3 linked regions of the Mus musculus genome follow. The protein of the gene in region 3 binds, or shares a complex with, the protein of the main gene of each other region. Links are inferred from orthologs where the notes say so. Each region holds a gene or a part of one and is shown on either strand. Other genes may lie near its edges. The genes, in order: Jade2, Kat6b and Meaf6.

Region 1 (7,724 bases), on a different chromosome or scaffold from region 3:
ATCTAAAAAAAAAAGAAGCAGTTGAGGCTTTTCCTAAAGCCTATGCTGGTTAGAAATGTTTGGCTAACTCAGGTCTTCCAGCCAAGAGCAGCCCCGACTTCCCCAAAGGATAGGATTGTACTCCCTCAGGGAATCTCTGTGCCACCCAGTGTATAGCCTAGGGACAGAGATTGCCACCATTGGCAAGTCACTGAGCAGACACATCCAATTTGTCAGTGCCCCTGACCTATAACCACCCACTCTGTTCCCAGGCATGCTACGGGATCCTCAAGGTGCCTACGGGCAGCTGGCTGTGCCGGACCTGTGCCCTGGGAGTCCAGCCTAAGTGCCTGCTCTGCCCCAAGCGAGGAGGAGCCCTGAAGCCCACTAGAAGTGGGACCAAGTGGGTACACGTCAGCTGTGCCCTGTGGATTCCTGAGGTGTGTAGCTTTCAGGGAGTAAAACATGGTGGAGGGAGTGTGTCGAGAGCTCAGGTTGGGCCTGGCAGAATTTATGTGACAGAATATAGGAAAAGAAGGAGCTCTTGGGTTCCCATGAAGACTTAGAAAGACAGTGTCTTAGTTAGGGTTTTACCATGACCAAGGCAACTCTTACAAGGACAACATTTCATTGGGGCTGACTTACAGGCTCAGAGGTTCAGTTCATTATCATCAAGGCAGGAACATGGCAGCATCCAGGCAGGCATGGCGCAGGAGGAGCTGAGAGTTCTACATCTTCATCTGAAGGCTGCTAGCGGAATAGGAATACTCCCTTCCAGGCAGCTAGGACCATGGTCTACAAGGCCACACCTACTCCTACAGGGCCACACCTACTCCTACAGGGCCACACTTTCTAATAGTACCACTTCCTGGGCTAAGCATATATAAACCATCACAAACCGGTCTAGGAACAACTGGGAACATTGTCTGTGGACCTTGTCATAGGTCTGGTTCCCAACTCTGAGGCACTGGGAAATTCAGGAGGGACAATTTGAGGTCTAGACCTTAGTCATGCAAAGGGGTTGGGGTGGAGGCTCAGATTATGGACTCCATCAAACAAAGTTTTGGTTAAAATCAGAATGAAACCAGCCTTGGTGATGTATGCCTGTAAATCCAGCACTTGAGAGATGGGAGTAGAAGATCAGGAGTTCAAGGCCATCATCAGCTTGAATTTGATGCTAGCCTGGGCTATATAACTCTGTCACAAAATCAAGCAAAGGGCAGATGATCCCCTAGTTTAGAAGGTAACAGTAGTAGGACGTTGGCTAATGGGCCTGCTCCTGTGGCTGCAGAGGTGGCCTGTGGCTGGGGTCATATGGAAGGGCCATGGACAGCAGGCTGGGTCCACAGTAGCCATCTTCACTGAGGCTGTGGTCAGCTCTTCTATATTGAGGTGCCTGCCCAGTGCTGTCCGTGCCTAGAAGCAACCTAGGAGACCCTGCCAGCATGTGACTCTTCCCTTCCTAGTTCTCTGTCCTCCTAGGGCCTACCTTGCCATTTCTGGAATAGTGGTTATTTGTGTCAGATTTTCATCTTGAAGGCCCTTTCTCCTGGTTACTGCAGGGAGATCGACCTATTGAGGACTGTACGCTTGGGGGCCAGCAAGGCGGCTCAGCAGGTTAAAGGTGCTTGCTGCTAAGCTTGACAATCTGAGTTCGATCCCCAGGACCTACATAGTGGAAAGGGAGGACTTACCCCTGCAAGTTGTCCTCTCACCTCCACACCTGCGCTGTGGCATACAAGAACTCACACGTGTACACATGCACCTCCTTGCCTCAAAGTCTACAGTTCCAGGTGCATGCTTCTCTTAGCCAGCTACATTCTTCTATATGCCCACTCTGGGGCAGGTTCCAAGTGAGCAGGTACTTGATTAGGGCAGGATCGGGGACTCAGACCATCAGCTCTGCATGTGTGGAGACGAGGAGGACTTGGGACTTGTGAGTTGAATGCACAGCTCTGTCTGCTCACTGTCTGGCTATGACTGACAGGATCCCACCTGGGGACTGAGGCAGCTGTCTGTATTCTCCCCAGGTCAGCATTGGCTGTCCAGAGAAGATGGAGCCCATTACCAAGATCTCGCATATTCCGGCCAGCCGCTGGGCCCTGTCCTGCAGCCTCTGCAAGGAGTGCACAGGTACCTGCATCCAGGTATGTGGCCTGCTTCCTTCTGCTGGTACCAGACAGATGCACTAAGGTACCTAAAATACCAGTAGTTACCACCATATAGCCCCTGTGGCTGCATCACTGATGGACCTGAGAGGCTTAGGACAAGGTTCGTGTGGGAGCTTCACCCACTAGGAAGGTACATTCATATGTCCCCAGGCTTCCAAGGAATGGGGACAGACCCCACCCATGGAATACTAAGAATTGGCTTTCCCCGTGAGAGCAAGTGTCTCTGGGCTTAATGATTCATTGACCTTTTAGACTGTAACCCTGACATTCGAGAGGAATGAAATCTGAACTCCTCTCCAGCTCGGCAAATGGGCCTTCCTGACCAATACAGGGGCTTACTGGTCTACCTGGGATGGCGGCTCCCATCTTGCTGATCGTCGGGATCACCCGAGCCATTCAAACCACACGAAGCTTTTAGCACCCATGGCTCTGATTGAGATGTGAAGAGAGCTGTGTGCTTGCTTTTCTCACACAGCAGGGTTTGCCGGTGCTTCTGGTCTCAGCTGTGGGGTGGAAGCCCTCCTTTGTCCCTCCCATCTCCCCAAGAACACAGTTGGCCTTGCTAGTATGCCTCCACCCCGTTTATCCGACCTCCAGAAGGGCTCTGGATGCTGTAGCAATGGAACCTGATGTTGGGGACACTGTTGATGAACTGTTTCCAGCGGTCCAGTCCACATCTAGGGCTGGGAGGAATGGTCGGTCCAGCCTTTAGCTGCTTAGATAAGAGAAGGCAGGATCCAACTGCTCTCAGAGAATAGCACCAGGCAGACTCCTGGCTTGGATGACAATACAGTAGAGGAGACTGTGACCCTCTTCAGGCTCCCCCACCCAAACCCCCTCTAATCCCAAAGTCATTTGTCCACGGACAACACGCATCTTGTCCCCACGAGGGGCGCGTCATCTCCTTGTGATTCTTGGCTCCTTCAGTATGTCTGGGATTTGCTCTGTCACCTTTCCCAGGTGTCCCATGGCTCCTTTAACACTGTGTGATGTGGGAGCCTGTGCCATTTTATGTAGTGTCTCCCCAGCATTGTGTGTGCTCCTCGGTGCCTTAGATGGCCCTTATGTTGTCCCCTGGCTCTCCTTTAATGCCTGACGTTGCCCTTCCTCTCTCTCTCTCTCTCCAGTGTTCCATGCCTTCCTGCATCACAGCATTCCACGTTACGTGCGCCTTTGACCGAGGCCTGGAAATGCGGACTATATTAGCTGACAATGACGAGGTCAAGTTCAAGTCACTTTGCCAGGAGCACAGTGACGGGGGCCCTCGGAGTGAGCCTACTTCTGAGCCTGTGGAGCCCAGCCAGGCCGTTGAGGATCTGGAAAAGGTGACCTTACGCAAGCAGCGGCTGCAGCAGCTGGAAGAAAACTTCTATGAGCTAGTGGAGCCAGCTGAGGTGGCTGAACGGCTAGACCTGGCTGAGGCACTGGTGGACTTCATCTACCAGTACTGGAAGTTGAAGCGGAGAGCTAATGCCAACCAGCCGCTGTTGACGCCCAAGACTGACGAGGTGGACAACCTGGCCCAACAGGAACAGGATGTCCTCTATCGACGCCTGAAGCTTTTCACCCACCTGCGGCAGGACCTGGAGAGGGTAAGTAGCCCTGGTGGGTCAGGGGCCTTACCTCTTACTCCATGTGCCCTGCCCAGTTTGAGCCTTTGGTAGGCTCCAAAGACTCAGGGGGCTACCACAGACCCCTCCAAGGACAGGTGCCACCCATCTGAACATCTAGAAAGAGGTGGGAGAGCCTACCTGGAACTCTGTGAAGTCTCTTGGGAGCTTTAGACAGAGGAAATCCTGGTGGCCGGGGGTGGGGGGGGGGAGGGTTGTTCTGGCCAGGCATGTTTGTGCTGGCCAGAACTGGGAGGGCAGGGGTGGGTGGTGAGTGAGACTCCCATGGCCTGCCAGGCAGAGAACAGGGATTGGGAGAGACTCCCATGGCCTGCCAGGCAGAGAACAGGGATTGGGACAGATGTCACACACTTGGCATTGCCCCACAGAGGCATTCCAGGCCTGGCCTGGGTGACTGAGCCACACACACTTCCGTCTTTACTCTAGGAGGCAGGACAGAATTGTGGCTTGTGGTATATTTGGGGCTGAGGGAGATGGACATGTGTGTGTTGGGGGAAGGAGGAGGTTTCTAGAAGACTGAAGAAGAAAGCTATCAAAGATAGCAATAAGACCCAGCTCCAGGGGTCCAGCCTCAGTCCCTCTGGGGGCTACATGTTGGTAACTTTGACTAACAATGCAAAGGACCAAGTGCTCTTATGGGGGTGGGGCAGGGGTTCTCTGCAAGGCCCCATAGTGGCAGTGGCCTGGCCAGCAGGCCCAGTCTCTAACCATGGCCCAGGGCCAATAGCTGAGAGTAGTCCACCTTTGCCTGGGCACCAGGCCAGCTTGGTCCTGCTCCTGCATTGAAGGGACAGGGCAGGGCTGGAGTTAGAGGCCTTGGGTGGTCTGGCCCTGTACTGATTCTGGGCCCTTTCCCCTAATGGGTGACTTTCTGTTTCCTTTTCCTTGAACTGGAAGTAAGGATCCAACTGACCTTGGGGTCAGCGTTAGGGGGTCATACAAGGACAGTGGCCTCCATCTCTTGGAGTCACACAAGGATAGTGGCTTCCACTGTTAGTTGTGTTGTTTGAAGCTACCTTCTCACCTGGTAGCCCAGGCTGGCCTCACCCATTCCTCCCAAGTACTAGGATGATAAGGATCTGAGCCCGCCCCGCCCCTTCCTTACTTCAGATTGGTATTTTTATTACTATTGGCCCCATAAGCAGTTCAGCTCATAGAAGAGAGGTGAAGCCTTATATTCTGAGAGTGGGCTCCACAGAGCTGCAAGGCCTGGTGCTCCAGCACGGGCATCTTCTCTGATGGGTCAGGAGCAGAATTGCCACCAGCAGAAAATCAATTTTACGGCCAACCCAAAAGATACACTCTCCTACAAATTTCAGCCGCAGGCCTGGACCTTGGCAGGCAGCGTGGATGGGCACGGCCACCACAGCGTCCAGAGTTATTCACGGCTGACAGAAAGATTGCAGTAGTGGACATCAGCCTGCAGATGCCAGCTCATGTCCCCTAGCAACCGCTGACTATTAGGCCCTGCAGGACATGATTGTGGTTCTTGCTGGAAGAGTTTATTTCAGTGACTGAATGGACCTTGTGTGAGACCCAAGAGGGTGGCCGGAGCTCTCGGTCATCGGAGATGAGTATGTGGTAGCCTCACCCCTGCGTCCCTCCAAGGATGGAGAGGAACCATGGGAAACAGACCCTTTCCTTTTCTGATCTCGCTGTTTGCCTTGGGGTCCCTGGCCAAAATCCTTAACAGCACTTGGCTGGTGACACAGTCACTCTGTCCACCCAGTCAGTCAGCACTCCATTCTCCAGGTCTTTGTCTTCATTCAGTCATAATCAAGCATGGGCCCACCCCAACCCGAGATGACTTCATCTTAGCTACTTTTATCTTCTGAGACCTTATGTCCCATTCTGAGGTTCCCAGCAGGAAATCTTGCGGATTTCCACCCATGTAGAGGCCATCGAGGCCCTGGAAGGTGTAAGTTTGCCAGGAAGTGGTCTGATTTGCATTTCAAGAGCATTGCTGAGGGATTGTTTTACTGTCCCTGTGAAAGGATGGGGGATGGGGAAGGGTGGAACCAGGCTGTGAAGAGAGCTGGTATCTGCCACAAGGAGAGACTGGTGCAAATGTACTGATAGGTCAGTTGTGGGTGTGGACCAAGAGAACAGGTAGTGGGGATGAGTCCAGTTTTCAGCCATAAGTCTTCTACAACTCCCCTTTGCCCGGAGGGTGCACCCCCAGGGCCTGCTTACACCCCCCCCCACCCCTGCTGGTTTTGCCTCTCCTTTCTTTTTCCAGTACACTGTCACCACCTCCTGCTGGGCTAGGGTGTCCCGGTTTAGGCCATCTGCTCCAGGGAGTTCTTCCTGCCTTGCTGGGTGGCAGGCAATAGGAAGAAAGAGATGCTGGCCCCTATACAAATTTATTCCAGAATGGAGGAAGGCACAGAGCCAGGCTAAAGTGCAGGAGGAGAGGGGTGTGAAGAAGAGGTTGATTGGAAAGTGGGTCATGGTAAGAGGTGCACAGGCTGCTACCAGTGGTTCAAACCCAGGGCTGTCCCTGGAGGAAGAGGCTGGACATGGGAATTGATAAAGCTGGAGTCAGCAATGAGTGAACCCTGACGGCCTGGTGTTGCCAGTGCAGGTGAGGAGTACACACACACACACACACGCATGGAATGTCACAGCAGAGTACATGTCACACGGGATGTCATGGCAGAGTCCATATTGAATCCCTCCTGTGATGCTGTCCGCCGCACTGGACCTCCTAGGATCTCCTTCTCAAGTAGTCTCAGAAGGGAAAGGAAGGTCACACCTGATAAAGATCTGCTCATACTACCTCGAGCTAGGAAGGCCGGAGTCATAGGAAGGAGAGGCAGAGGTTCAACTCAGAAATCTGCCTGCCTCTGCCTGCCAAGTGCTGGGATTAAAGGCGTGCGCCACCACACCTGGCTGGAAGGAGAAGCTCTTAATTAAAGGTAACTCAGGCAGCTAAGTAAGACCTGAAGACCACCTGGCAACTGTGTAAAGGGAGGCCTGAGTGGGAATAGGATCCAGGCTGAGCAGCTATGGTCAGTAACTGTCCCTGTTTCTGGAAAACTCCACATGAGCCCAAAGGTGATACCAGATGGAGGGAGCGTCTCCAGGGCTGAAGCCTGGAAGTATGTGAGAGAGCAGTCCTTAGGGGATAGAGGAACCCTGAACAGGCAGTGACAGGTCCACTTCATATCCTGCCAGCCAACCTGAAGAATGTGTGCCCGTCCTCTGGGCTAAGCCAGATGACTTCAAAGCCTACTGTAGGGACTCTAACCAGCTGGCCCAAGGGAGTCAGGGGCTGCTGTCCTTTATAAAGTCAGGCATCATGTTGCTGTGGATATGGGAGCATTGGCCCAGGGGGCAAGGCCCTGGCTCAGGTCCCGGGATAGCAGGTAGACTTGGAAAAGCTATTTTGCCAGATTGTGTTCATTTGAAAGTACAGTGATACCTGTGCCTTGGGACATGCCTGCGTTTTGCCATGATGGTTGTATCTGCTGCAGAGTTGCTTTGCTGGGAAAGGCGGGTGTTAGGCAGGAAGAGAGGGTTGCCAGCTCGAGACCAGATACTCCCTGCATGCTCAGGGTTTCGGGGTGAATTCTCAATTGTCTTAAGGCAGAGGGGAGGCAGCAGCAGTGGCTGGTGTTCAAAACACTGCTTTTTTTCCCAGCGGCGAGGCCCCTTGAGATGGCCAGCAGTAGGTGAGGTGAGAAATCTCTCCTGTGTCCCTTCAGGTAAGGAACCTGTGCTACATGGTGACAAGACGGGAGAGAACGAAACACACCATCTGTAAACTTCAGGAGCAGATATTCCATCTACAGATGAAACTTATTGAGCAAGACCTTTGCAGAGGTAGGCACGGCGCCCCCTGCTGGGAAGATGTGTCTATGCGGCCTGGAAGGGCCTGGGACCAGAACCCTTCAGTCAGGTTCCTTCTCACGGACATAACAGATCCACGTGGGAACCAGTG
Region 2 (7,754 bases), on a different chromosome or scaffold from region 3:
GGGAAAACTGTTCCCCTTTCTTGCCACACCCGTTGGATAATTTTGTTAGGAAAAGACATTACACTATATTTCTGCTTTCCGAGTTTTCTACATCAACAAAGATTTAGACAAATGTCAATCTATTTTTTTGCTGTCTCCCTTGCTCTCAGGGTGGCTGGGGCTTGAACCATGAGCATTAAGCAAGTTCTTTAAAGAGTCTGATTACTGTGATGCTCTGGAAATTCTTGTGCACAGTGAGCCCAAGGGCCTGGGTTTCATCCTTAGCACTGTGACAGCTCTAAGTGTCAGGCCTTCCTTTTAGTGGCAAAAGGGATGAGTGAAGGCTGGCCATCGTAGACTTGACTTACTGGTTTTAGTTGCATCTTTAACATACTTGGTTCGAATATAGAGATCTAGAGTTTTAAACCTTGTTTTTAAGACATGGTTTATTTTATTGCTCCAGATAAAATGCAGTCTGAGGGTTGGGCGTGGTGGTTTACTATCTGAAATTCTATCAATTGGGAGACTGGGTAGGAGGACTGCTGTGAGTTTGAGGCCAAATGGTCTACAGAGCAAGACCTTGTCTCAAGAAAATAAATGTCACCCCAAGGGACCAAAATGTAACTTAAAAAATAAAGTGCATCTGGGCAGACTATCAGAAATGCAACAAAGCAAAACAGAAGGGCTAATGAGTCAGCCAGTATCCTTAAATTTACTTTGTAACTTCTTGGAGAAAATTCCTACCTAGCATGTGTATTATGGGGGGAAAAGCACACCTTATAAATGCCCTTCTTGGAAACAATCTAAATGAACAGGACTGAGTTATGGACTAATGGCTTGTGAAAACTCTCCTTGAGCAAGTTATTGAAGATCCTAACTGAAACAGACAGGAAGAGACTTAGAAAACCCAACGAGGGTGGGGTTGGGGGCGGCATTTGCTTCATCAGTAATGTAATTCAAAAGTTGCCAAGCCGATCAGTGGCTGAGTTTACCTTGTTTCGTTTCCTTGGGCTGAGTCTGAGAGTGTCCGGATTTAACCTAAAGAGGTTTGTGTTTTAAAAACTAACAACCAAGTAATAAAACACCTATAAAAGAGGTTTATAATGGAACTGGTGACAGTTCTGAGTGTAGTGTTACAAGTCTTCTGCTCTCCCCTCTTTTTTTTTTTTTAATCTGCTCTCCCCTCTTTTTTTTTTAATCTTTCATTCACCTCTGCCTTTTGTCCTGGCTTCTTCCTCACCTTGCTGCCAAGCTCAGAAGCAGAGGAAGCTCGCACACCAGAGTAGCCTTTGTGCATTTCTGTCTGCATGTGACAGGGCTGCTGCTGCTGCTAAGATAAGAACTGAGATTATTGGGTCTAACAAAGTACCTACATAGTTGAACAGTAGTTTCTAACGGGGAGTTGAACTCTGCTGCAGGAGTGGCAGTGGCATGAAAATGAGTCATTCAGGGCAGGGAGACTGAAATTCCTGCTCTTTGACATCCTACATCTCCTCATCAGGGGCCCCAAGAACGTCCTGATTCAAGGACAGAACTTCAGGCAACAGGTGGTTTTTCACCCCGGCCACCACACGGGGAAACTTGGCTTTCCCAGGGACATAGGTTTGTTTCCCTTCTTCCCAAAGGTCTGGGAAGAGAAACTGTTCAAACTCTGTTAGGAGGAGCCTTTTCTCAAGTCTACCTTTCTCATACTCTCAAGTATCTCTTACCAGCATCCCACCCAACTCTGGGAAGAGCAGGACGTTTTCTCCAGAGTCCGGAGGGCGCTGCAAGGCATGTGGGCACCTTTAGAGTAGCCTTGCCTGGGCGGCCAGAGGATCCCCCAGCCTCCCTCGTATGGGCCTCAGGAACTCCGGGGGCCCAGGGGAAGCCTGGAAAACCGAACTTCGCCATCAGCTTTCCTTACAGCGCTGGTTGGAGACGAGGGAAGGGCCCCCCAGCGGTCGCCCCCCGCCCAACCCCAATGTTATCCAGCTGCACAGTCCAGGAAGCACCCAGAACGCAGCTCCGAGCTCGCCAGCCTCTCCCGCAGGCCGGGAGAGGGCATCCTGAGGGGCAGCTTCCCTCTCCAGCCTGCGTCTGACATCCCCACTCCCACCCGAGGATGCCTGTCCGCAGTCGCTGAATGTCACTGCTCCCTCTTCCTCCTGATCAGGGTAGAGACAGCTCCTGAGGCATCCCCCACCCCAAAACTGCCGCGGTCGCCCGAGGGTACAAGACCCGGGAGAAGGACGAAGTTTGGGGCCCACGGCGGCGGGAGGGGGGGCGCGTTTAAGAAGACCGCACCTCAGTCCCAGACCTGGCGGACACACTCCCCACCCCAAAACAGCCCAGGCGTCCCCATCCTTTCGGACACCGGCATCCCCGCCCTCCCCTGAGGGCGGTGAGCGGAGCCCCCCGGGGCGGAGGCAGGTACCCCCGGGGCGGAGACTGGGGCGGGCGGGGTCCGGGCTGCGCCCCCGGCCGGGCCAGGCGGGCTAGCGGGCGGCGCGGGGGGAGCGGGGCTGGGCGGCGCTGCCTCGGGCTCTGTGCGCTGCAGCCCGGAGCCGAGGAGGAGGAGGCGGAGGAGGAGAAGGAGGCGGCGGCGGTGGGTCCCGGGCGGGGGGAGCGCGGCGCTGCGGACCCGGGCGGCTGGCAAAGGACGAGGCGGAGGCTGAGGAAGGCAGCGGGGAGACCCGGTCTGCAGCAACAAAGGGCAGCAAGCGATTGGCCGGGCTGGAGGCGAGGTTAGCCGGGGACCGGGGTGGCCGGAGGCAGCGGCGAATAGTGCACGTGCTTGCAGACACGGGCGAGTGCGGAGCCGGGGGTGCACACCCGGTGGGTAGGGGGCTTGCTCCCCCTCCGTATGGGATGGCGAAGAGGCTGCAGTGAGATCGTTCCGCCTGCACCCGGCCTGAGGCTGGCAGGGTAGGGGGTATGTGAAGGGGGTAGGGTGCAAGCCAGGGGGCGGGCGAGTAGTCGCCCGGGACAGGACAGGAGAGAGGGTGGAGGAGGGGGCTGGATGGAACGCTCCGGGCGGCGCGCCCGTCCGCGCGCTCCTCGGCGGGAGCAGGCGACTGAGAACCTCGAATTTTAACTTCGCGTGCCCGCCCGCGCGCGCCCGCCTGCGCCCACCCCTAAATCCTGCGGCCGCCGCCAGCGATCAGCTCTCACACAAACTTTAGCTGCGGGCTAGGGGCTTTGGGGTTGAGTGGGGGAGGGGAGAGGAAAAAAGGCTTCTGATTGGCGTCGTGTACAGCCAATAAGGCCAAGCGCCTCTCCTGCGCCTAGATCCAATCCATTTCTAGAGGTAGAGGGGGCGGGTAGGTGGAAGTAGAGGTGGCGCGGTGTCTGTGAGAGAGAAAAAGGGCTGGACCAATAGGTGCCCGGAAAAGGCGGGCCCCGCGGTCTGTTGATTGGTACTGGCAGTCGACCCTCCCTCGGGGTGGTGCCGGAGGTGGGGGGGGGGAAATGATGGGTCGAGAGGTGTGTCTATGTGGAGGCGAGATGACCGGCAGGAACTTGCCCCAATGGGGGGCAGAGTGTTTAGCGAGCGGGTGACGGACAGACCCGTAGGCCAACGGTTGGCCCTAAGTGTTCGTGCTCTCGTCCAATGGAACGGCGCCGGGGCGGGGCCGCGTCTTGGGTTTAATGAGACTCCATTGGGCTGTAATCAGTGTCATGTCGGATTCATGTCAACGACAACAACAGGGGGACACAAAATGGCGGCGGCTTAGCTCCTACCCCTGGCGGCGGCGGCAGCGGTGGCGGGCGCTACGGCACCTCCTCCAGGCGGCAGCCGTAGCTTCTTTCTCAGGCAGATTCAGCGCCCCCGGCAGGCGCGGTGGTGGTGGCGCGCGGCCAGGTCTGTCACCCACCCCGCGCGTTCCCAGGGGGAGGAGACTAGGCGGGCGGGGGACCGACGGGGGGGTGGCCTGGGACCCTCGACGCCCCTCCCACAGGCCCCTGCGCGAGGGTCACCGCGGGGCCGCTCGGGGTCAGGCTGCCCCTGAGCGTGACGGTAGGGGGCGGGGGAGAGGAGGGAGGAGGAATAAGCTCCGCCCCTGGCCGAGCCTACGGGGCAAGGGGCGGGGCTCAGGAATGGAAGGGCGGGGCAAAGTCGGGAGGGGCGGGGCAGAGGGATTCTAAGGCTTGGGCTGGGAGGGGATTTCTGTGCAAGAGTGAACTGGTAGGATGGATGGAGGGGTCGGACGAGGGCGTGGGCAAGATTAAAAGAACGGGAGATGAGATGGGAAACGGGAGGTGTAGAAACAGGTGTAGAAGGGGGTGTAGGGAGGGGCGAAATTTTGGTGGAAGTGGGAAGGGTACCTAGGACTGTGTGAGGGCTGGTGAAGTGCTGCAGACTGGCGAGATTGCCGTTAACTGGGGACACACTAAGGATGAATTTGGGTGTGGTAAATGAGAGAGTATTGCTGAGTTGGTGTTGGTTCGTCTTGGGGATGGGTTCATGAGGCGGGTACAGTTTCTTTGGTGGAAGAATCAGGCTGAATCCTCATGTTGGCATAGGATAGTGGTTTGCTGGCCCATGGTAAATGAAACATTAAGAAAACAGAAGGAAGGATGGATTAGTTAAGTTTGGGAGATTTTCTAAGGTAGCAGAAGAGACTTTAATGAGCAGGGAATGGAGAGAGGCTGCTTGTAATTTGCAGCAGTATATTAGAACATCTCATCAGGACAGGTGATTCAAAGTTAGGGGAAGGCTGTGGCTGTGAACGAGGGCAGCACTGAGCAATAGGTCTGGGTGCTATAATTTGATGGACTGTGCCCCCAGTCTTCATTGAGCCAAGAAAGGTTATGGAGACTTTAATTTTGATGGCTGGGGTTGTTTGGAGTAAACTTCAAGCCTAGTCTTGAAGGTGTGGCAGGAACAGGGAGAGCATAGAGTGTCCCTAGGAAGAGACATGGATGCTTGCTACCTTGGGCAAGAACATTTGGTATTTTTGAGTTTGGTAGGACTTTGGTTTGGGCACAGTGCAGGGAGTAATGGGACCTGGCAGGGTAAAGGCAGAAGAAGGGCAAATTAGTGACCTGCACCATGGAGGAGTTTGAACAATTGCAGTTGGGAGAAAGAATGTTCATGTGAGAGTAGTGGAAGTTATGAAGGAGCAGTGATAAGGAATTACAGTTGTCAGCAATAGCTAGAGACCCAGTGAACTTGGGGTGGAGATACCAGGAAATTCAAGGGAAAGAGTATGCACAGATTTGTATGGGCAAGAGGTAGAAGTAGCGCATGGGACTTTAGTTGTGTTAGTTCTTTGTACTCCAGTAGTGTGTGCTTGTGCACACACATACATGCAGATGTATGCAAACACATTTTGTGCATTTGATGCATACAAGTGTGCACATCCAGAGGCCAGGGCACGACATAGAATGTCTTCCTCTATCTCTCCCTGCCATATTGCCTTGACATAAAGTCTCTTACGAAGTGGTAGTTGGCCATTTTTGCTAGGCTGGCCGGTCTGCTGTCGAGCTCCTGGAGGCTGCCTGTCTTCACCTGCTCTTGCTGGGACTCCAGGCAGTCTAAACCACGCTCAGCGTTCACCTGGGTGCTGGAGATCCAAACGCAGGACCTCCTGCTTTCCATGCTGTGCCCGCCAAGCCCTCTATCTCTCCAGCCCCAGCGAAGTGGGTGTTTGTAGAAAGTACATTCTTCCTCATACTAGTATACCCTTCATTTCCTGATGCAACTCTAAAATACACTTGACTGCTTGCTTATTAGAAATTTATTATACATGTAGCAGAGTGAATGTGAGCTGTTGTTTTTAAGGAGTAATGGGTAAGGAGCCTGTAATCCTTGGTCATCTTTGGCTTTTGAGGTCAGCCTAGGTAGTAGTTAAAACCCTGTGTTTAAGTAAGCGAAGAAAAACTGAGGAAGGAAAGTTTTAACTTAAAGGAAGAATTTAGGTGACAGGGTCAGCTGAACTTTGACCTTTCGGCTGTACCTGGGCCTCTGGGTGGATGCTGATGATTGTGTTGTGTTAAGGACTAATGAACTACTTGTGGAAACAGGTGGACGCTATCAGAGGTAAGACCTGTGAATAGAAAGTAAACAGGATGGGTGAAGCAGATATGACACTTATTTATCTATTTATTTATAGACAGGGCTTCTTTCTCAGTAGCTTTACAGTCCTGAACAGTCTGACCAACTCACAGAGATTGATTGCCTCTTCCTCCTCAATGCTGGGATTAAAGGTGTGTGCCACCACCGCTGGGCTCTAACAAATGATTATAACATTACTTTTTTCTTTTTTAACAGTTATTGAGTGTGTGTGCGTGCATATGCTCGTGTGTGTATATGTTCATGTGTGTGCTTGTATGAATGCCCACACACATGTGCACTGGTGCAACTTTGGAGTTCTGATTTCTTCACCACGTGGGTTCCAAGGTATCAAACTCAGATTTATCACTAAGTGCATTTACTTATGTGAGCCCTGTCACTGCACCTTTCTTAGACATTTCATTTCCCTGTTAGAAAAGTTTTAACCAAGTGTCTGGCTTGTAGTTTCTAAGCTAGTTTTGTGAGTAATTGGCCTTTGATTTCCACATACAGAGCAATAGCTACATTTGTATCTAGAAAAGTCAGTTGGTTTGGGGAGACGTAGGAAGGTGGGTTGTAGTAAGAATAGTAAACTTTCGATAGAAGATTTAGGGCAGAGGGACATAATTTTCATGGTCTCTTCTGTTGTTGCTGAGTATTTTAGTTGTTTTTGGTTTGCTTGAAGCATCTCAACATACATATCGTGATGCACATGTGTACACATTTCTTGAACGTAGAGTTGCATTGTTGGTTTATAGGCAGGGCCGCCTCATGCTCTGCTCTATATCTGTTGTCTCAGCATAATCAACCTTTTTGGCTTTGAATGAAGAGCTGTGTGGTTACCCTTGCTAGAGCACTAGAGTGTGTATTTGTCGTACTGCTCACTGGTTAAACTTTCCCAAGAACACTCGCTCCTATTGCTTCTCTTTCCTTTCCAACTCTCAGACTTGTTAACTTAAAATTTTAGCCTGTCTAAATTTTGAGTAGTAAGCAGGTTGAGAAGCTCTTCATGTATTTGTCATTCAGCTTTTCTCGATGGTAAAGTTCCCCCTCTGTCCCATCTTTTCATTTGGAACTGAGTCTTTTATTACTACTTAGAAGTTTGTTTGTTTGTTTGTTTTCGAGACAGGGTTTCTCTGTGTAGCCCTGGCTGTCCTGGAACTTATTTTGTAGATCAGGCTGGCCTCGAACTCAGAAATCCAACTGCCTCTGCTTCCCAAGCGCTGGGATTAAAGGCGTGCGCCACCACGTCCGGCTAGAAGTTCTTTTTTTAAAAATGCTGTTCTTTAACCATTTGTTTACACCGTGTGTGTGTGTGTGTGTGTGTGTGTGTGTGTATGCATGTGTGTGGGCTCATGCACCAAGACTTGGGTGAAAGTCAGAGGACAACTTTTCCCTCCACAGTATAGGTCCCTGGGATGGAACTCAAGTTTAGCAGGTTTGATGGCAAGTACCTTTAATGCTTTGCCACCATGTTGACCTGGAAGCTACTGTGACTACAAGCTCTCTGTCCTGTGTGTATGTTACAAATACATTTTCTACCCTCCGGCTTTCCTTTTCATTCTCTTTATGATGTCTTTCAGTGAACTGAAGTTCTTAATTTTAATGGAGTCTGATTTATTGGTCTTTTCTTTATGGGCAGTGCCTTTTGTGTGTTTTATTTTAAAGACTATTTCCCTACCCTGTGGTCAAAAAGTTGAGTATGGAGTATTATCTCCTGAAAGCTTTCCTGACTTTG
Region 3 (7,824 bases):
AACATTTAATTGGTGCTGGCTGACAGGTTTAGAGGTTCAGTCCATTATCATCAAGATGGGAGCATGGCTGCATCTACACAGGCATGGTGCTGGCAGAGCTGAGAGTTCTACATCTTCATCTGAAGGCTGCTAGTGGAAGACTGATTTCCAGGCACCTAGGATGAGGGTCTTAAGTCCATGATCACAGTGACACACCTATTCCAACAAGGCCACACCTCCTAATAGTGCCACTCTCTGGGTCAAATGTATAGAAACCATCACAAGCACTTTCTAAGAAAATAAAATTTGAAGTGCTTTAAACATGTACTCCTCATACCACAACTCCCTATGCCCAGCTAAGCAGGATTTGACTTTTGCAAATGAGAGAGCTGAGGCACAAAACAGTGGAAGTCACAGAACACGTATGTACGTGTGTGTGTGTGTGTGTGTGTGTTTTATCCCCATGTGTGTAAGCCTGGTACCTGTGAGACCAGAATATGATGCTGGACACACTGGTTATAGACACTTCGTGAACCAGCATGTGGGTGGCTGGCAATTTAATGCAGGTCCTCTGTAAGAAGCACAAGCATTTTTAACTGATGAACCCTCTTTCCGTGTTCTTTTTAATTAAAAGGGTTAATTTTGTGTGTTTGGGTGTTTTGCCTGCATATCTGTCTGCATCTCATGTATCCCTGGCACCCTGGGAGGCTAGAGAGGGAGTCGGGTCCCCTGCACTGTAGTGACACAAAATTGTGAGTCACTGTGTGGGTCCTGAGAATTGAACCTGAGACCCCTGGAAGAGCAGCCAGTTCTCTTTAACTTTTAACCTACCTCTCAAAGGCTCCATCTGTGGTTTTCAGTTTTCTGCCCTGATGCTGAGAATCAAACTGTTAAAACTTAAAACCTTGGGCTCAGCAGTTAAGAACACTGACTTCTTCCAGAGGTCCTGAGTTCAATTTCCAGCAACCACAGGTGGGTCACAACCATCTGTAATGGGATCCGATGCCCTCATCTGGTGTGTCTGAAGACAGTGACAGTGTACATACATACATAAAATCAACAAATCTTAAAAAAAAAAAAAAAAATTCAAAACCTCTAACTTAGTTCCAGAGGATCCAACACCCTCTCTTGACCTCTAGCGGCACTGCAAGCATGTGCAGAGACATGTATGTAGGCAAAACACCCATACACATGAAAATTAATCAATATTTAAAATAAGGAAAACTGCCAAGGAGGTCAGGTGCGATGGATTAGCAGGTAAAGCACTCACTGTGAATGAAGCCGGAGGAGTGTAATCGACAGAACCCAGCTGGTAGAAGGAACCAACTGACCCCTGCAAATCGGCCTGTCTTTCACACCTGTGCCCGGGCGTGCTAAGCACTGAACACAAGTAAGTGTTAGAAAGTACATTTAGAATTGGCAAATTAAAACCCAGTAAAATAAGGAAGAGAAGCACGTATAGAGAGGTGTCCACTGAATTCAGCAATGCACAAAAAGAAACAAGATGGCCAAGAAATTTATTCCTGACATTCAAAGCCGCTACATCTGAAAGTCCATCCACGTTCTCCACCATGTTATGTTTAAAGAGGGGCTGGAGCAATGGCTACGCTGGCAGGAGACACAGGTTGCATTCCTAGCCCCGACATGCTGGCTGACAACTGTGACTCCAGCTCTCTCTCTGGCTTCCACTGGTACCATGGTACAGACACTTGCAGACAAAACAGAAAAGAAAAAGTCTGAAAAAATATATATATATATTTAAAAAGCTAAGGATGGCTGGGCATGGTGGTGCACGCCTTTAATCCCAGCACTTGGGAGGCAGAGGCAGGTGGATTTCTGAGTTCGAGGCCAGCCTGGTCTACAGAGTGAGTTCCAGGACAGCCAGGGCTACACAGAGAAACCCTGTCTAAAAAAAAAAAAAAAAAAAAAAAAAAAAAAAAAAAAAAAAAAGCTAAGGATGCTGAGCCACAAAGGCGACATGTTTACCATGACCACCACCCTAAGGCTTAGGGGCCATTTCAGACGGCCAGAGCCAGAGGTCGGGGAGGAATGAGGTGAGCAGTGCCTTCTCCACATGGACAGGTCAGGGCTGCTGTATTCAGGAGCCCAGCAGCTGTAGCTGCTTACAAAAGACTGGCCTAAGATCAAGCCAGTCATCTTGGCAGCATGTAGGAGAGAGAGGTGCCCAAGCCTCCATCCCTAGCTAAGAAGCTATCAACAGTGGGTGACTCCTGTGGGGGAAGAGTCAGCTTTAAGGTGTGGGCCCTGGTAGGTTGATCACTTTCCATTGGATGATCTCACACCTATAAATATATGGGCATCTCAAATTGGGACTCAGTCATTAAAACGGGGCAGGGGGAAAAGCTGGAGAGAGGATGGATCAGAGCTCTCCCCCAGGACCCTGGTTCAATCTCCAGCACCCACATGGCAGCTTACAACTATTCCTCCAGTCCCAGGAGGATCTGATGTCTTCTGGTCTTCTTGGGAATTGCATGCATATGGTACAGAGACATACATGCAGGCAAAACACTCATAGACATAAAAAGAAAATTTCCAAGGTCTGATTGTTATTTTTTTGAGCCTAGGCTAGCCTCAAATTCTCTGTGTAGTTGAGGCTCATCTTGATTTTTTCCCCCTCAAAACAGCTGTCCTGTCTGTCTTCGAGTCCCCTGAGTGCTGGGAATAAAGACATGTGCCACCATGCCTGGCCCTGGGAGGTTCTTCTGTGGGCCAGGCTGGCAGGAAAGGAAGAGATGCTAGACTCAAATTCAGGGATTTGTGCAAGCTTGGGCTTAGGCAGATATTTTACCAACTGAGTTTCATCTACAGCCTTGACTTTCTTTTTTGGGGGGTGGTGGTGAAACTGTCTTATATAGTCTTACTGGCCCAAATACTATGTAGTACCTTGACCTTCCTGCTTCTTTTACCGCGGCCTCTTGGGTGCTAGAATTATAGGCATGTACTACTGGAGAGGAACAAGAGATTAGTGAAGAGGTTTGTGAGAGAGAAAATTAGGCAAGAGGAGTTTTAGAAAATTGAGAATTTCTCATACCTGTTGAACAATATACATCTAGGGCATAGAAACCCAAGGACATCCACCCATGGGGGCAAAGAACGCCACCTAAACTACGAGTGACGTTGCTGAGCACTGAGAATGCAGAGGTGGGCTCAGGGTGTACCTGTAGAGTGCTTGCTTCGTCTGTCCTGAGATCCATCCCCAGCACCTATTAACAGCGGGCATGCTCAACACATGGAATCCCAGCAGTGGGAAGGCAGAGGCAGGACGATAAACTCACGGTCTGTTTCTGTTCAATACCAGCCTGGATACAGTTCTGGATCTGAAGATAGAAGCTAATTCTTTCATAATCCTTCCCCTCCGGCAAACCACGTACAACAGGAGATCTGCTTGCCTGTGCTAAACCCAGCAAGATGTTGGTTTGGGGATCTTCTCTGCAACCCGGTTGGTGGGCGGAACCTTGCTCAGGTTTTCCACCTGCAGTTGGGTGGTGTTGCAAGGACCTCGTCTGCCGGGAGACATATGGAATACTCAACAGGCCTATGCTGCAGCTGGGTTCTCGATGTAGTGAATGTCTGTGGGTGTCTGTTAAGCTCAGAGGCCCACAGTGGAGCAGCAAGGAAGGTCCCACACGTACAAGCGCCTCTCCGCGCCGGCTTTCGCGCGCTGAGCCGGCCAGCTTCCCCGGAAGCCGCGCGCGCAGGCGCGGTGTGGGGGGTCGCGCCCCCTGGCGGCCAGCGGCGACAGTGCGCAGGGTCCGCCTACTGGTCGCGCGCCGCCGCCTCCGCCGCCGCTTGAGCCCAACATGGCGATGCACAACAAGACGGCGCCGCCGCAGATCCCAGACACCCGGCGGGAGCTGGCCGAGCTGGTTAAGCGGAAGCAGGAGCTGGCGGTGAGTGGCCGAGGCCTGGACGCCGTCCCCACTTGGCCTCGCAGGCAGCTCCGGAGGCGAGGACGGCGGGCAGCCAGGGTCTGGGCGCTCTGGGCGGCCGGGCGCGGCGCGGTTCCCTGCGGCGGCGCGGTTCCCGGCCTGCGCTCAGTGGGGCGGGGCGGGGCGGTGAGGGCGCGGGAAGGGCGAGAGGCAGGAGGCGGGGACGACGCTCAGGTCGGGTTAGCGGTTGGAAAGGAGGCGGCTAGACCCCGGCCTGGAGAAGATGCACGATGGATTCCATGGGCGGCGCGTTTCAATGGCCGGGGAATGTGGTGTATTTGAGGATGCCAAGGAACGGGGCTGGCGGGAGACCCAAGACGCAGCCTAGGGAATTTGGATTGGTGACGCGCACCAGGAGCCGCCGGCACCCTGCTGACTGCCCTGTAGGCTCCCGCCTTTTACGGCGAGCATCCGGGAGGCAAAGCTCACCTGAAGCTGCCCTTCCAGGTTTCCATAGCAACCGGCATCCACTGCGGGCGGCCCTTCCAGAGCTAGCAGGGAGGAAGCAGTTGATGTAGAAGAGATGCTTTTGAAAAGCTGTTCACCCTTCTCGCTGCTGGTAGCAACACATTTAGTGAGTGAGAATGGAGACAGCTCACGGTCTGTCTCATCCCTGCTCGTGACAGCTAGGTTTTGCCTCTGAAGTAGATGCAAAATCTTGCATGTGTGTGCATTTTCTGAGGATAGACTATACATTTCATTCTATTTATAAAGGGGTCCATCACCCCTACACTTCCACAGAAATGGTTCATTGTGGGTAAGCTTGACTTTACAAGTCTGTGACGGAATTTCAGTTTGCTTAATGCTTGTTTTTCCCTGTCCCTGTTTTCATCACCTAGGAAACACTTGCAAACTTGGAGAGACAGATATATGCTTTTGAAGGAAGCTACCTGGAAGACACTCAGATGTATGGCAATATTATCCGTGGCTGGGATCGGTATTTGACCAATCAAAAGTGAGTGTCAAAATCTAGTAGTATTAGCTGAGCACTGGTGGTGCACGCCTTTAATCCCAGCACTTGGGAAGCAGAGGCAGGTAGATTTCTGAGTTCGAGGCCAGCCTGGTCAACAGAGTAAGTTCCAGGACAGCCAGGGCTATACAGAGAAACCCTGTCTGGAAGAAAAAAAAATCTAATAGTATCTCTCCATTTTATCCTCTACTAATATTTGGCTGCAGGATTTTTGTTTTGATTTAAAACATGGTCTTACTATGTAGCCCTGGTTAGCCTGGAACTCACTAAGTAAAGCAGGCTGGCCTCGGATTCACAGATCACATAGCTCTTTCTCCCTCTGACTTCTGACTGATAGATTTAAAGGTATGGACTGTCATGTCCAGCTTGGGACATTTGCTTTTGGCATTTACTCTGCAAGGAGATGGTAGAGCCGTAGTGTGGAATGGGGTCTAAGCTTGAACTTGTACTCTGACGGCTCACGGAGAAACCTTGGGGAAGCCAGTATTTGTGATGAAAGAAAATAGGGCCCATGGTGCAGGGATGTGTGGGTGTAAGTGAAGTACAGCCTGTGACCGAACTGTCTTCCACATTTTCATCAGCCACGCTGTGCCATTACGATCTTTGTTCTACCTCCAAGTTCATTGTTACCACTGTCAGCTCAGTCATGCGATTGTATAAAAATGCCTACGCTTGTGAGGAATTTTTCAAATCTGTAGGAAAACTGAGATGAGAATGTGCATGACCAGTTAGTGTTTTTCCCATGTATTCATGAGTTGCTAACTCACTGTGGGTGCATGCTCTCTCTGAAGTACGAAAACTTCTCTGTGTGCTTAAGAACCTTTTGTTTGGAAATAATTTACAGATGGCGATAGAAAGCTGTACAAACAATAGACATGGCTTGTGTGTGCTTACGTAGTTTTCTCTGATGGTTACGTTTTACGTAACTATAGAGTATCATCAAAATCAGGAAATCAAGATTGGCTGTGTGGGGGTGGGGGTGGGGGTGGGTATGGCATTTTAACGTATGTGTATAACTACAGGATGTGAAACCAGGCCCAGGAGATATTGCTCGGTGAGTAAAGGCGCTTGGTGTACAAGCCTGATGACCGGAGCTCAGTTCCCAGAACCTGTGTTAAAAGGCACAACTGGCAACAGGAGAGATGGCTCAGCAGTTAAGAGCACACACTGCTCTGGCAGAGGACAGGAGTTCGACTCCCAGCATCACTGTTAGGTGCCTTACAGCTACCTGTAACGGAGCCCCAGGGGATTAGACTCTGTCTACTGAACTTTTGGACCATCCCCCACCCCCACCCCCACCCCTGCCATTTAACACACATGTGTAAATGCACGTCTGGAATTTTAGCATATGTGGTGGGATTTGGGGACAGGAGAATCGCTCACTTGGGAAGTTTGCAGGACAGCCTGAACTATGTAGTGCTGTCCAAATAACCAGATTGCCTCTGTCTCAACAAGGTAGAAAGCAAGGGCCACTGGTGGAAAGCTGCCCTCTGATTAGTGTGTGTATAAAGATGCAGACCCATTCCGCCGTCACAGGGTCTCCTCCCTGCTCCTCCTCTGTGGTTACATTGCTGTTTGCCCGTGCTTTCTCTCCCTGCTAACCATTGAAGAGTTAGGCGCTTACACCACGAATCTCTGCCTCTAAATATATTATCAGTTACTTCCTGAGAAGAGCAAGGCATCTCTGCATATAACTCGGATGCTTATAGCTTAAACATTAACACGGATTCCTTCAGATTCCCTTGGTTGGCCCCACAATGCTTTGCTACTCTTTTTTTGATCCTGGATCCAGTGGCTTTCGGCAGTTATGTCTCATTAATATTTTGTTGTTGTTTGTTTGTTTGTTTGGAGACAGGGTTTCTCTGTGTAGACCAGGCTGGCTTCTGACTCACAGAGATCCACATGGCTCTGCCTCCCGAGTGCTGGGACTGTAGGTGAATGTCCTCGTGGCCTGCAGGCTCCTGCTTTAAGGGCTCTGTTCTTTGTCCATTGCTGCAGGGGCTACAGCGCAGGGCGCTGAGCATGCTGGGCAAGTGCTCTGCTGCTGAGCTGAACCCCCAGTCTGAGTCCCAGCTTGTGACCCTCTGGTTCTGTACCTCTGTCTTATTGGGTGACACGTTGTTGGGTGGTCCTATGATAGCTCTGCTGTAAAAGTTCATTTCTTTTTTTTTAAGAATTATTTATTTTATGTATGTGAGTACACTGTAGCTGTCTTCAGACACACCAGAAGAGGGCATCAGACTCCATTACAGATGGTTGTGAGCCACCGTGTGGTTGCTGGGATTTGAACTCGGGACCTTCGCAAGAGCAGTCGCTGCTCTTAACCGCTGAGCCATCTCTCCAGCCCAGGTTCATTTCTTCATATTGGCTAGACAGTTTAGTGAGTACAGGTGCCTGTGGACAAATCCGACTACCAGAGCTCTGCTCTGCCTCTTCTGTGCTGGGATTAAAGGCACGCAGCACCCCACACAGCTGTACGCACTTTAAACAATTTACTTATTTATTTTATGTATATAGGTATTGTGCCTGTGTGTATGTCTGTGTACCACGTGTGGCCTAGTGCCCTTGGAGGCCAGAGGATAACATCTGATCCCTTGGGACTGGAGTTACAGACAATTGTAAGCCTCCATGTAGGTGCTGAGAATCAAACCTGGGTCCTCTGCAAGAGCAGCCAGTGCTTTTAACTGCTGAGCCATCTCTCCAGCCCTCATTTTATTTTATTTTTTCATAGTCATATTTTGATTGAAAAAATTTCTTGCTTGTCAGAGTGGCACACATTTCAATCCTGGCACTCGGGAGATAGAGGCTCATATACTTCTATATGAGTTTAAGGTCTGGTCTGCATATATAATTCTAGGCCAGCCTCAAGACTACATAGTGAGATCCTGTCTCAAAACAACAACAACAACAAAGTCATTTATCATA

What was found.
Region 1: Meaf6 (region 3) and Jade2 share a complex: the UniProt entries of both Homo sapiens proteins name them as parts of the HBO1 complex. The link is inferred for Mus musculus from reciprocal best matches to the Homo sapiens genes MEAF6 and JADE2.
Region 2: Meaf6 (region 3) and Kat6b share a complex: the UniProt entries of both Homo sapiens proteins name them as parts of the MOZ/MORF complex. The link is inferred for Mus musculus from reciprocal best matches to the Homo sapiens genes MEAF6 and KAT6B.

The regions. Positions count from the first base shown.
Region 1 is NC_000077.6:51,820,961-51,828,684, reverse strand, and holds part of Jade2 (E3 ubiquitin-protein ligase Jade-2), read left to right. Parts: intron 1-251; coding exon 252-419; intron 420-2,009; coding exon 2,010-2,126; intron 2,127-3,277; coding exon 3,278-3,742; intron 3,743-7,488; coding exon 7,489-7,606; intron 7,607-7,724. UniProt on the Homo sapiens protein: Scaffold subunit of some HBO1 complexes, which have a histone H4 acetyltransferase activity. Acts as an E3 ubiquitin-protein ligase mediating the ubiquitination and subsequent proteasomal degradation of target protein histone demethylase KDM1A.
Region 2 is NC_000080.6:21,497,256-21,505,009, forward strand, and holds the start of Kat6b (histone acetyltransferase KAT6B), read left to right. Parts: upstream 1-2,529; 5' UTR 2,530-2,705; intron 2,706-2,734; exon of another isoform or gene 2,735-2,893; intron 2,894-3,198; exon of another isoform or gene 3,199-3,823; intron 3,824-7,754. UniProt on the Homo sapiens protein: Histone acetyltransferase which may be involved in both positive and negative regulation of transcription. Required for RUNX2-dependent transcriptional activation. May be involved in cerebral cortex development.
Region 3 is NC_000070.6:125,081,377-125,089,200, forward strand, and holds the start of Meaf6 (chromatin modification-related protein MEAF6), read left to right. Parts: upstream 1-3,784; 5' UTR 3,785-3,800; coding exon 3,801-3,890; intron 3,891-4,768; coding exon 4,769-4,884; intron 4,885-7,824.